Solanum lycopersicum: one gene and its partners. The protein of the gene in region 3 binds, or shares a complex with, the protein of the main gene of each other region. Links are inferred from orthologs where the notes say so. Each region holds a gene or a part of one and is shown on either strand. Other genes may lie near its edges.

What was found.
Region 1: the proteins of CITRX (region 3) and fructokinase-like 1, chloroplastic are in contact, whole or in part, in a cryo-EM structure (PDB 8XZV), measured with the Spinacia oleracea proteins. The link is inferred for Solanum lycopersicum from reciprocal best matches to the Arabidopsis thaliana genes TRX z and FLN1. Residues at the interface, in XP_021862427.2 of Spinacia oleracea: Tyr73, Val75, Lys77, Ile83, Thr84, Val87, Arg88, Tyr100, Ala101, Thr102, Trp103, Cys104, Gly105, Pro106, Cys107, Ile108, Ala111, Gln112, Lys129, Asp131, Thr132, Asp133, Asp134, Tyr136, Phe138, Arg140, Asp141, Met142, Gln143, Val144; in XP_021865197.1 of Spinacia oleracea: Gln111, Lys112, Glu113, Phe114, Val115, Pro116, Ser117, Val118, Arg119, Val120, Ser121, His123, Gln124, Met125, Asp126, Pro127, Asp128, Ile129, Tyr130, Trp133, Met136, Gln137, Pro141, Phe143, Asp175, Phe176, Lys201, Ala203, Cys204, Ser205.
Region 2: the proteins of CITRX (region 3) and fructokinase-like 2, chloroplastic are in contact, whole or in part, in a cryo-EM structure (PDB 8XZV), measured with the Spinacia oleracea proteins. The link is inferred for Solanum lycopersicum from reciprocal best matches to the Arabidopsis thaliana genes TRX z and FLN2. Residues at the interface, in XP_021862427.2 of Spinacia oleracea: Tyr73, Lys77, Ile83, Thr84, Val87, Arg88, Phe99, Tyr100, Thr102, Trp103, Gly105, Pro106, Ile108, Leu109, Gln112, Asp131, Asp133, Tyr136, Phe138, Ala139, Arg140, Asp141, Met142, Gln143, Val144, Arg145, Gly146, Leu147, Pro148, Tyr151; in XP_021858068.1 of Spinacia oleracea: Gln218, His219, Ala220, Phe221, Val222, Pro223, Ser224, Gly225, Arg226, Pro227, Ala228, Arg230, Leu231, Ile232, His234, Gln235, Ile236, His237, Leu240, Lys241, Ala243, Phe250, Ile251, Asp282, Tyr283, Thr286, Trp308, Ala310, Met311, Ser312.

The regions. Positions count from the first base shown.
Region 1 is NC_090808.1:5,635,681-5,640,036, reverse strand, and holds fructokinase-like 1, chloroplastic, read right to left. Parts: upstream 2,936-4,356; 5' UTR 2,878-2,935; coding exon 2,134-2,877; intron 1,031-2,133; coding exon 338-1,030; 3' UTR 79-337; downstream 1-78. UniProt on the Arabidopsis thaliana protein: Required for proper chloroplast development, most likely through regulating plastid-encoded polymerase (PEP) dependent chloroplast transcription.
Region 2 is NC_090804.1:5,637,368-5,641,654, reverse strand, and holds the start of fructokinase-like 2, chloroplastic, read right to left. Parts: upstream 2,874-4,287; 5' UTR 2,657-2,873; coding exon 2,616-2,656; intron 1,678-2,615; coding exon 1,115-1,677; intron 1,008-1,114; coding exon 373-1,007; intron 107-372; coding exon 1-106. UniProt on the Arabidopsis thaliana protein: Required for proper chloroplast development, most likely through regulating plastid-encoded polymerase (PEP) dependent chloroplast transcription.
Region 3 is NC_090800.1:83,416,814-83,421,014, forward strand, and holds the start of CITRX (thioredoxin-like protein CITRX, chloroplastic), read left to right. Parts: upstream 1-1,353; 5' UTR 1,354-1,452; coding exon 1,453-1,659; intron 1,660-2,167; coding exon 2,168-2,290; intron 2,291-4,067; coding exon 4,068-4,148; intron 4,149-4,201. Other genes in the region: trihelix transcription factor ASIL2, read left to right, coding at 457-861. UniProt on the Arabidopsis thaliana protein: Thiol-disulfide oxidoreductase that plays a role in proper chloroplast development, most likely through regulating plastid-encoded polymerase (PEP) dependent chloroplast transcription.

The DNA of each region.
Region 1 (4,356 bases), on a different chromosome or scaffold from region 3:
ACCAGCTGATTCAACAATCATTTGACATTTTTTGACAGCAAAAAATGATAATATGAGCTGAGGAGCCACAAAATGATATAATAGTGAAAAGTGAAAACTGCCTACTCATTACAACAGTGAAGAATCTATATAACATCCTTTAACCATGAGATGCACAATCAAATTAACTGATTTTGAGTTACAAATGGGACTGGTTTACAAAGATCATGCACTTACAAAAACACTATGGATCTTTCCTCAAGAACCTATAATTTGTCGGATTAATTACAACGAAATCTACGTTTAAGTAGTAACTTCTGCAGAAAACAAGGTCCTGAGAATTGGCATTATGGCACTACTACCACATCGATGGTACATAAACCTGCTCTTTGAGATTCTGTGTGGCGCTTTCAGTAGGAAAACCTCTAACAGCACCTATTGTCCACTGGGATATTATGCCTGCTGCAATAGCAAAGCGAAGCTGTCTCTCTAGAACATCTTGATCGTGGTACATCTCTGGTTGTGTTGTCAACTTTCTCATTATTCCAGCGACAACAGCATCACCAGAACCAGTTCTATCACAAGTAAACGGTGTTATGAGCACATCTTCTGTACCAACAACCACCCCATCAAAAGAAGGGGAATAGTAATGAATCCTAAGTGTCCCATCTGTAACAAACAGAAGTTTCAGTCCGTCGTGCCACAAGGGAGCAATTTCCTCAGGAGTATAGTGATAATAATTTCTTCTTTGTTTGGTTTGTTCGTAATTCTCCGCAAAGTATTGAGGTCTATAATTCCTTTTCCTCTCGTAATGCTCTTCGTCAAGAAGAAATTCAAGCTCTTGCCTCGAAACCTCAATGATGTTAGCTTGCTGCCAGGCTTCCTTGATCAAATCCCTTGTTTCGTCACGTGATCTCCACAGAGGCAATGGCAGATTTAAGTCAAAAAATACAAGACCACCAAACTTCTTTGACAATGTAATTGCTTTAAAAAGAGTTGAACGCATAGATGAAGATGTCAAGACTTCAGAATTAAAGTGGAACATCCTAGCCTGCAAAACAGAAAGCAAAAGCATCCACGAAATTTGTTAATAATAGTTTCCCATCATCACCCTGACACAATTATTGAAGCAAGTAAATTCCGGAAAGGATAAAACTGATAGAAGATATATTCTTCTCCATAGTGGAGGTTCAAGCACTGTATGAAAAATATCCATCATGAATTTAACATCTTACTTCTGGTTCATACCAATCGAAAAAAACAATTTCCCTACCAAACAAGAGAATGAGAACTGATGATATATTGAATCATTTTTCAGCTTTCACGGTTTAAGGATCAACCAGTCTCAAGCTAAAAGACCGACAGTTTCAGGAAGATGAGTAACTAGTCAAGCATGAAACGACAAAGCAATTTGCTGCTCCAAATGATAACTAGTTGTCAGGACACTAGATTTTTTTAATGATAGGTAACTACACTTCCACTACCTCGCAACTAAAAGGAGTATATACGATTAGCACAAGTCAAACTCAAATAAATAAATTGACGAGAACTATGCATCTTTCGTCAATTGGTTTTACGAAACAAATGTGTCATTGCAAAGAAATGTCATCAGAGTGAAGAGATCAAGCAAACTTCAGAGCTGGAGAGAGCAATAAAACTGTTAACGACAGCACAATAGTGTCTACTGATAAATAGTGAGCTTCTCCAGCAGTCTGACTTCAATATACCTACTAATAAGCATTTATGGGGAATATTAGTGTTACTCTCTACATTCCTATGTGCGATGATGGAGATGGTAAAATAAGACTAGAAACCAAAAACAAGACGAAATAGTAGGTATAAAGTAGAGTACTTGGAATCAGCGGAATTCCAAAACTAACAACTACGAAATGAACTGGTTTCACAACGGGAGAACAAGATAAGAGCAACGACCCCAGCGGGTCAGACGATATCTTAAGAAAAGCAGCCATGGGGTTCTTTCATAAGCCATTTTGCGCAACATAGTTTAATACCAATCACATAGCAAATTAGATTCATGCATCCTCTATTAACATTTAAAGCCAAACATCACTACACAAATAGAAACAACAACATGCTTAATCTATCCATAAATAAAAATATATCTTTACTTTTAATAACAACACTTCCACATACCTCTTTCAGAACATCAAGATTCAATTCGGAGCTAAGCAGTGAATCCTCAGCAGAGTCTTGAACTTTCTCCACCCTCATTTTCCCATCTTTAAACTTAATTTCCATATAACTACATCCAGTCCTCATACTATCACTAAATTTGACAGCCCTTGTTTGCACTTTCTCTTTATTCATTAACAAAACCATTTCTTGTCCTAACTCATCACTCCCAACTTTCCCCATAAATGCAGCTCTACCACCAAGCCTAACATGAGATATAGCAACATTAGATGGAGGTCCACCAGGAGCTCTAACAAACTCAGGTGGATTCCACTGCAACATTTTCCACTCTGAATACTTATCTTTATCCATTTGCTCGGGTGATACTCTCACTGTTGGCACAAACTCCTTCTGCGCTGCACCAAAACAACAGACCAAAGGTGGGTTTGGGTATGGAAAATCAACCCCATCATCATAATCATCAATTTCTTCCATTTGGGTGTTGGATTCTGCAATGTTGATATCAAAGTTTGAATCTTTTGGGGTTCTTGATTTTTTTGAAGTTGTGGGGGTGGATGATTTTTTACGGCCACGGCGAGAGGGGGTAGGGGGTTCTTGGGTAGTGGTGGGGTGGTCATTGGTGGTGGACTTGGGTGGATTTGTTCTGTAAGGAAATTTGGAGGAGGAGAAGAAAATGGTGGGGTTTAGTGAATTGTGAGAATGATGATGAGGAAGAGATTGAGGAAGAAAATGTATTGTTGCCATGGTGTTTTTGCTATGTGCTAGGGTTTATCCATATCTTTTTCATGCCATTGTTGAAGAGAATTTGAGGTTTTGACTTCCATTCGGGTTTGGATAACTTGACCCGGTTGTTTTGACTGGTAGTGACAGTCGGGTCGGGGTTCTTACATTTTATTTTGGGCCTACTTGAAGTATTAGAACAACTTTCATGTTTAGCAAATATTAAAAAGATTAATCACGGAAATTTCACCTTTTAATTTACTTATTATCATTATCCCCTATAAGTTTTACAAATTTCCAAAATCTTTTATATTTGCGCATCACCTTAATATATCTCGGGCATCAAATTAATGTATCTCGTGCATCACATTAGTGTATCTCGCGCATGACATTAGTGTATCATGTATAAAATGTACCTCGTGAATCAGATTAGTGTATTTCATGCATCAAAGTAGTGTATCATGTATAAAATGTACCTCATGCATTAAATTAGTGAATCTCACGCATCAAAGTAGTGTATCATATATAAAATGTACATCAGATTAGTGTATCATGTATAAAATATAATGTATCTTACTTAACGATTAATATATCTCAAGCATTAGATTAATGTATCAACACTTATATTATTTTATCCGTTCGGAGGAATTTTTATAATTATAAAATTTTAAGGGACATATTGATTGTAATTTTACCTTAAAAGTATGTGATTTCTATAATTTGCCAATATAAATTAAGTAAGCAGTTGGAGGAAATCAAGGCGTATCCACTTTGTCAATCATATTTGTGTAAAAATCAGATTTGTATAAAATTGTTAGCAACTTCTCATTTGTATACATCGTTGGCAGCCTCTCATTTGTATAAATCGATGACAACCTTTCCATTCAATTTTATGTGTTCGTATATCTACATAAAATTTGTATTTGTATACAAATGAATCGAAATAAAACATTTGTATATCAAATCTCTCTCTCTCTCTCTCTCTCTCTCTCTCTCTCTCTCTCTCACTTTATGCAAACACAAATTATACATTGTATTATGTATATTTGTGTTTTGCATAAAGAGAGAAAGAGAGAAAGGCAAAGAGGACCGAGCAGGGGGGAGATTTGTATCATATAATTATAAGTGTATAGGACAAAGATATACATATTTACATGTGTATATACAATTTTCTCTCGCTTTATACAAACCAATTTATACATTTGTGTTTGTATATATTGAGAGAGGCGACGGAGAGATTAGCGAGCGAGAGGGAGAGTGGCGAGCGAGAATTTAGGGTGAGAGGCGAATGATAACAGTTTGCTATGGGTTATAATTAAATCAAGCTATGGTTATGACATTTAATTTGAATTAATAGATTGCTATTATATATAATTTTCTCAATGTATTTTAAGAAATCACCTAAATACACAGTATATTTTATCGTATCCTCTAAAATTTCCAACCATTTGAAAAAACTACAGAAACTCCTACTTTGTGCAATTTGCGGATACATTACTTTAC
Region 2 (4,287 bases), on a different chromosome or scaffold from region 3:
AAAAGACAACTCCTCCGAGCTTCTTCGAAATCTTTGTTGCCCGTAATGTGGTTAATCTCATATTTGGGTCAAGCAACGAAAATGTATTGAAGTAAAACATTTTTGCCTGTGTGACATATTAGAACAAAAGGAAACAACTTAGTACTAACAGAACATACAAAATGAATTCAAAAACAAAAAGAAAAAGTAACATGTAACTTATTTTATGATCCCATTAAGATTATGCAATATTAAGAATTATGTCAAGAATGACTTCCATGCTTGTAAATTCCAACAAAGAAGCCTATCGGAAAACTTTCACACCCAAAAGGAAAACTAGAATATTAATCTTCTCACATTTCCAAATAAAACTAGGTTTTTTCAAATTCTCACCTCCTTAAGTACATCTATATTGATCTCAGACTTCAATAAAGAATCCTCAGCACATGCTTTGGTGGTAGTCATCCTCAAGCCCCCTCTCTTACCTATCTTCATATGTGTAATGGCAGTTGCTCTTTTACTGTCAAGGCGAACTGATCGTGTTTGAACTTTGTTGATGTTCATAAAATATACCAAGGACTGACCAAAATCGTCATCACCAAGTTTCCCCATGAAGGCAACTTTACCTCCCAAACTCGCAAGAGCCACAGCAACATTACTTGAACATCCCCCTGGAGCCCTGATAAACTTTTCAGGATCCCACATTACATCCTTCATTCTTTCATGCCATTCATGGTCTACAAGTCTATTGGATGGCCTCCCTGAAGGAACGAATGCATGCTGTGCTGCACCAAAGCAACATACAAGGGGTGGCCATCCATACGTGAAGCTAATATCCTCTCCAACATCTATATCGAAGTCCAGTTCTTCCTCATTATCGGCATCAACATTTGCAACATGTAGCTCTTCTTCAATATCACTAAGTTCTGACTGGCTACCTTCATCCTCTAAATTTCTAACCTTCTTCCTCCTCCCCCTTGTGGCCTTTTGCGTTGGTTCTTTCTCCAAGCTACTAGAGCTAGAAGCAGCTGCAAAATTATGCAGATTTGCGATTCAAACTTCTTAAACTTACCAAATATAAAAGAGAGCACAAGTGCTCCATGATGAGGAAGATAAATTTATAAATTGGTTGTACCTTTCTTTGCAGTTCGTTTTCTTTTTTCTACAGGCTCTTCACTTGACCTTGAAGTTGGTGAGCCTTCCTCATCTGTCACATTGCCCTCCACACCTAACATGGAATCCTCAAATGAGCTCTCCTTTATCTCTTTTTTCTTCCGGGTTCTTCGGGTTTTCTTGGGCTTCCCACTTGATTCTGGCTCTGTTACAGCGTCTTCATCAGTGACATTACCCTCCACATCGGATATGGAATCACCAATCGAACTCTCCACTGTGTCTTTTTTCTTTCGGGTTCGTCTCTGGGTTTTTTTGGGTTCTTCAATTGACCCTGAAGTATTTTCCGCTTCCTCATCATTTGAAGACTCAACTACTTTCTTTCGCCTAGACAAAACTGGAGCTTGTTTTGATGTCCTGCCGGTCTTTTTCCCAGCACCAACCACCTCTGTCTCCGATAATTCCTCAGGTATACCCTCTGTAGTTCCTCCTTTTGAAACTGCCATTAGAACCCATTTATTTTTAAGTTTAAGATCTTGAAGTTGCATTACTTTCAAATTTGGGTAAAAGTTCCAATGCAGATGCTGCCTGCATATCAGAGAAAGATGGAATCTTAGTATTATCCTCTTCCTGTTTGAAGCATATTTTAGTTTCAGCAGTAGTTATCCTTCAAATTTACTCCATGTTTGAGGTCAGAAAATCTAAGATGCATAAAGAAGAGCAGAGACATTGAATCTCCGTTTGACGTTCATATTACAATCAAGACAAACACCCTCTCTGCATACTGACTGATTATAAAATTAAAAATTACTCGAAAGCCACTGATTTTGTTCGGTATTCCATACGTTAATGGTTGTTCTCCACAATAAATGAAACTTTGACGAAAAACTAATTGATTGCCTTTCTTTCAGTTATTCTTTTCCTCCTTCCTAGTCTATTAATAACAAAATGGATGAACTCTAACAATGCACTAATAAAAAGGGCTACCCCGCGCACTCGGCTAGTTCCTTAAAGTTGCCAAAAGAGCAACTCTAGCAGTGAAGCCAACACTTCCCTCTGTGCACTAATCAAAAGCATATAGAACAAAAACAACTACTACTACTACTCAATTCCAAACAAGTTGAAGTCGGTACATGAATAACCATGTTACTCCATTTAAATCACCTCAAACCAAAATTATGCAAACATAAATAATAGTCATGCCCTTCCCAAACCGCGCATAGTGGAAGCTTAGTGCATCCGGCTATGCTTTATAAAAAATGGAAGAAATTCGACTTGCCCTCAAACTAATGGATTAGTATATGAAAACATGGACACAGAAATTCAACTTCACTTCCAAATTTTACCACAAAAGAATATTATCCACACACAAGATAGTTGCAAAGGTGACACCTTTAGAAGTTCTGTACTAATTCTCTGTTTCTTGTATCATTTTTTTTACATGTAACCAAATGCACTAAACAATAAATGAAAGAAGCATATGAGAAAGACAAAAAAAAAACTTAAAAGAATTGAGTAAAAAGAACCTGGAGAGTGTAGAAAAAAAGCTGAAAGACAAAGCAGCCATAGTAAAAAGAACTTAAAGATTCAATCTTTACAACCCTGAAGACCCAATAATGGGTACTGGGGTTTTACACCTTCAAGGTCACTGTGAAGTAGTAAAGAGAAATTGGATGAGGAGAGGGGTTTTGGAATTTGGGTTTTTGAGTATTTTTTTTTCTTTTTTTAATTTAATTTCATTATTTCTAAATAACTATTTTTAATATACCTAAAGATATTTTTTATGACTAGAATGTCCCTAGTGTGTATTATAATTTAACAAACTGCCACTAGGTATGTTTTAGGCTTTGCTTTTCTATTAGTAAAATATAATCTGCTCAACAAAGAGGGTATCTAATCTGTTTCCAAGATCCCATTTTACTGTATTTTTTGATGTTTATAATATGATAATTTTGAAGATTTCTTCCATTTTTGTGAATCTTGGAATGCTACAGAGCCATTAACATTATTATCTTCATTGAGTTTTTGTATCATTGTTGAAATGAATGTCTTCAGGCGTTTTCTGCCCAAAAAAATTGGGTTCAAAACATCCAAGAAATCGTGTTATGGTAACTTCAAGCCCCTTTTTGTCCTCTTTTTTTTGTTTTCCCAATCTTTTTGTGCTCTATCAGTGATAAAGTTTCAATCTTTATTAGGTTCTGATGTAATTGGTATTTGCAATAAGTGGTATTAATGGAATATTTTGTTGTTGTTACTGTTCTTTTTTCTGAATGCTATGTAATGATATTGTTATTAGTTACTATGTCTGCCTTGTGTATCTATGTTAATTTTTGAAAGTTGCTTTGTTTATTGTGTTACTTGAGTTGAGTTGAAGGTCTTCGGAAATAGTCTTTCTACCTCTACGAGAGGGGTAAGGTGAATACTATTTTATACAAAATTATAGCTTTTTCTAAAGAAATTATGATGTCATGTTTCTGATTTTGTCAGAAGTTGATCTTTGAGATGTTTTGATGGGTTTAAGCTTCTCATTACAACATTTGATTGAGGGGTTATGTTGAATCTTGATGGATGTATAAGCCGTTTTTCTAAAATATTTATTTTGAACCTTAGAAATTGAGATAAAATGGACCTTAATACAGTCATTCATCCTCTGTAATAACATTTCTCTAGAACGGCCAAGCTCTTTATGAAACCGATTTTTCATGTTATGTAGCATTGTACTATAGCAGCCAAAAAAATATTTAGAAAATGATACCGTTATAGAGAAGTTTGTTTGTAGCACATAATGGACATAGAGGATTCATAGAGCTGAGACTCAACTAGTTTTAGGATTAAGGCATAAAGACGTAGTTATTGATTGATTGATTGATATTCTTTTTCCGATCTTGCTTTGTAGCACCAGGCGTTTACTCTATCCATTCGTCCCCAGATTGTGTAGTGGAAGTTCATTCCCCGGAGCAGGAAGTAATAATTGCTTTGGGAAGTAATGTCGGAAACAGACTTAATAATTTTGATGAAGCATTGCACCTAATGAAGCAATCAGGTATAAAGATTACCAGGCATGCTTGCTTATATGAGACAGCACCTGCTTATGTAACTGATCAGCCTCAGTTTTTGAATTCTGCTGTTAGAGGTGTCACAATACTAGGGCCTCACGAGTTGTTGAGAGCACTCAAGAAGATTGAGAAGGACATGGGT
Region 3 (4,201 bases):
CAAATATAAGTTATTATTTTTCTACAATTAAACGTTAATAGTGAAAAAAAAACACTCTACATAATAATAATAATATGTTAAGTTTCTAATTAGAACTCTCATATTGGAGTCATGGTCATTAAGTTAACTTTTATAGTGGGTGTTAAAACTTACCTGATATAACCTGAAATAGTATGAACCCTCAAAGGTTTTACTGAATTAGCAAGTGAAAAAACAAAATATAACGAAACTAACAAAACACATAGGTCGTGGTGTAGTGATGAAACTGTTTTACTCATAATCAAAGATTTCATCTTCCTGTTGGAAAATTCTGTTTAAAGCGGTAATCCCTGAATTGTGCTACAATGCGAGCTTCGGATGAAAAAAAAAAAACAAAACTTGCAGCATTGTAGACTGTACACTATCTTCTACTATAATAATGAGCATGAAAGTGAAGTTGCCGACTTGTGTGACCAGGAAGACATATTAATGGACGCCAAATTATCGGACAACGCAGCAGCACCAGATCAGAAAAACGCAACAGCTACAAATAGCAGCAGCACGCCAGCACTGTACAGCGACAACAAGAGCAAGTCGAAATTGAGATCAAAGAATAAGCGAAAGAGGGCCGTGGAAGGGTGGGAGATCGGAGAGAGCATACGTTTGCTAGCTGAAGTAGTGGTAAGGTCAGAGCAAGCACGAATGGAGACGATGAGAGACATCGAGAGAATGAGAGCAGAAGCTGAGGCCAAAAGAGGAGAAATGGATCTCAAGAGAACGGAGATCATTGCCAACACTCAGCTTGAGATTGCTAAGCTCTTTGCTAGTATTACCAAAGGATCAGTTGACTCTTCATTGAGAATTGGAAGAAGTTCATCATGAGCTAGAAAATAATAATAATACTCTAGCTAGCTGTGGAAATAGAAATTACCTTGTTATCATCTTTTAATTTGATGATGATATCCTTCTTGACCCAGCCACTACCTAATTATGGAGAACATTTTATTTAGATTACTAATAATTAACTTCTATTTCCATTTTCTTGCTGATTGTATGTTCAAGGACTTTACTGTATCACTTCTCCCTTTATCAATCATATATGAAAAAAAAAAAAAAAGAGGAGTAAATTAATCCACCGTATTTTGTCTCATAATTTGATATATCTGAATTATCGAACCGAAATAGTATATTATTTAGATGCTTCCAATGCATCACAATCCAGTTAAATCTCAATCATTTGAAAATGTTTAATAAAATAAATAAGACTTTTAAATGGTATATAAAATAGACGCAAAAATTTGAAATTTAAAATACCCAAAATGCCCTTCATGTTGTATTTCCATTTAGTAATAAACCTTATCTTTTTGTCTCGTTGGGAATTTTGGCTCTCTCTTTCTTTGCTCCTTAAACCCCAAACAGAGTCTCTCTCCCTGTGCTGTGTGTCACTCCGGCAGAGCAGATAAAGCTATAAGAATGCAAGCTGCCAGTCTCGCCTTTCACCCTCCGGCACTCCGTACTTCACCTTCTTACCTCTCCTCCAAACTTCCCCACCACCTCAATTATTCACTCTTCAAACACGCTCCTTCAACTTCCACACTATCTTTAACCCAAGTACTCTCCAGAAATACCATTTGCAAACCCCCAGCTGTTGGAAAATATGTCAGGGAGGATTATCTTGTGGTATGTTACGATTCTTTGTTGTTGGTTGTTCAGTTTCAGTTAGTTTCTCAATGTTAGTTCAATTTTTCTGAATCTCGGCTATTGGGTTTTGTTTAAAAAGTTCAAATCAATTTGTTAAGTTGGAAATATGTGTTGGTGAAATTACAATTACAATTGAAAAACAAAATGAGGTACCAATATCTTGCTCGCTCTGTTTAAGGAGACAACAAAACTTTTCACCGGTGTAGTAGTAATCTTCTTGACGAATTTGGCTGTTGGGTTTGTTTATCTGCTGGAACCTTCAGTAAAATTTATATCAATTTGGAAATTTATGTTGTGGATAAGCTTTGTTTGTTGCTGAAACTGGAACACTGGTTAAACAAGAGCGAAAAGGAACCAGACTTAGGCGACTGTTTTAGAGGAATTCATCTGTTATTTGTTTTTGCAAGTGTGGTTTTGTTTCTAATGAGCGCGCTACGCAAGGTTTTGCTAATTCCAATTCATTTTCCCTAATTATATGTGATTGCAGAAGAAATTATCTGCCAAGGAGATTCAAGAACTGATAAAGGGAGAAAGGAATGTGCCACTGATTATTGATTTCTATGCCACATGGTGTGGTCCTTGTATTTTGATGGCGCAAGAACTTGAAATGGTAAGTTTGGATTTTACACAAAAATGTCTTAAACACTTCTTTGATCTGCTATTGATGGTTTAATGTAGAGTTGGGATTGATGGATAAATGCTCTAGACGATTCGTTACTGTGGTTCAAATCAAGTGGCTATTTGAATTGGTCAATTTTCCAGTTTGCAGAACCATTTGGTTTTGTAATGACTCCATTTTCTAGCTCCAATTCTTTTCTTAATTAGTTGGGGTTAGCTATAAATTAGAGTATCCTATCATAGTTTGATTATTTTTTAGCAGTCCGCCAACAGCCAACCTATGCAACTTCTTGTCGATTTGGCTTTAGGACATGCTATGTTTGTGAATCTTACATATTGGGGGTGAGGGTATCATTTTGCTCCAGCAATGATCAGGAATTGTTTTAAATGCTTAAAATCACTATTGCTACATATGAGGAGAAAACCTAGAGAAGGGTAGAGGGATGGGACAATTATCCCTGAATTTCTAATGTTGCGGAAAAATATTGTAGTTAGGAGTCGAAATTTTCTATCAACGTGAATGATATAATGTGTTAGACCTGATATTTATATAAATAAAGCACGATTCGTCAATCATTGGTGGGATAATCCTTTTAAACTCTAGGGAAACCTTATGCTCATTGATATGGTGTATTTGAAGATATAGCAACTCTGAGGGCCTACATTCAATTGTTGAAAAGATAGGGATAAATCTCAGGTGATCATGATACTCACATGGCTATTTTATCCTCAATTTTCTGTATCTCACTTCCTTGGAGAAAAACCTTGTGTTGACCTTTTTTTCCCCGTGTTTATTGTTCCTGTGAGAAATAAATATACGTAGACAGAGTGGATATGGAGAGTTTCGTGATTTTCAATTTTCCTAGTTGCTTATTCAACAATGTCACATTAATGGTGGCACAGATCGTCCATTATTCAGTGTCAGTATTGGAGTGGTTAATATGCTGAGAGTTTGTCTTAAATGGATGAGGTGCTGCTATGTGGTGAAGGAATACTATTAGCTGAGGAGCATCTATTTTTTCGCAAAAACTTTAGTAAAAGTTTGTAACTGATAAGTTTTAATGAGAAGCTATGAATAATGAAGTTAAAGTCTGCTGTCTAGTAACTTTTACCTATTATTTTATTTGGAGGAAAGATTGACATTGATCTTTCTATAGTTTAAATGCGTAATGTCCTAGTGGAATTTGTCTATCATAAACTGCATGTCACGAATCGACAATCGAAATCAAAGAATTGTATTACTTCTAGGCCTTCATAAGTTTATATTTTTTGGATAGGCATAAGGAGTAAGTTCCCCTCTCTTAGTGTGATTGCAAGATTGGAGATCCTACCGTCTAATTCAAGTATAGCTGACATTGATGATAAGAAAAGGAGATTGTTTTGTAATATTAAAATGATGCAAAAAGTATCAAAATATCTTTTTCGTTTCAAGTATACTTTTGTCTTTTGGTGTAAACAGAGTCTCACCTTATGCATGTATATTTGGGCTCGTAAGTTAGATGATTGTAAAAAAGAGACACAACCAACTATAAATAAGTTGGATGATTGTAAAAACGAGACACAACCAACTATATATACTTTTTAGCACAACCTTGGTGTATTGATTATGAAATATATTCCGCTTACCCCTGTCCACACGTAAAAATCCTCCTCAAAATCAGTAAGTATAAGTTTCGTTTGAAATAGTTTGCTTGGAGTTTAGTTATGTCTTGCTATGCACACTAGGTTATCTTTGCTAATGTCAAAATTGTTCCAATTTCATCTGACAGCTTGCTGTGGAGTATGAAAACAATGCACTTATTGTGAAAGTGGACACAGATGATGAATACGAATTTGCACGAGATATGCAGGTACAACCTCTTACACCATCATTCTGCCTTGAATTAAAATTTGTTTCTCTTTC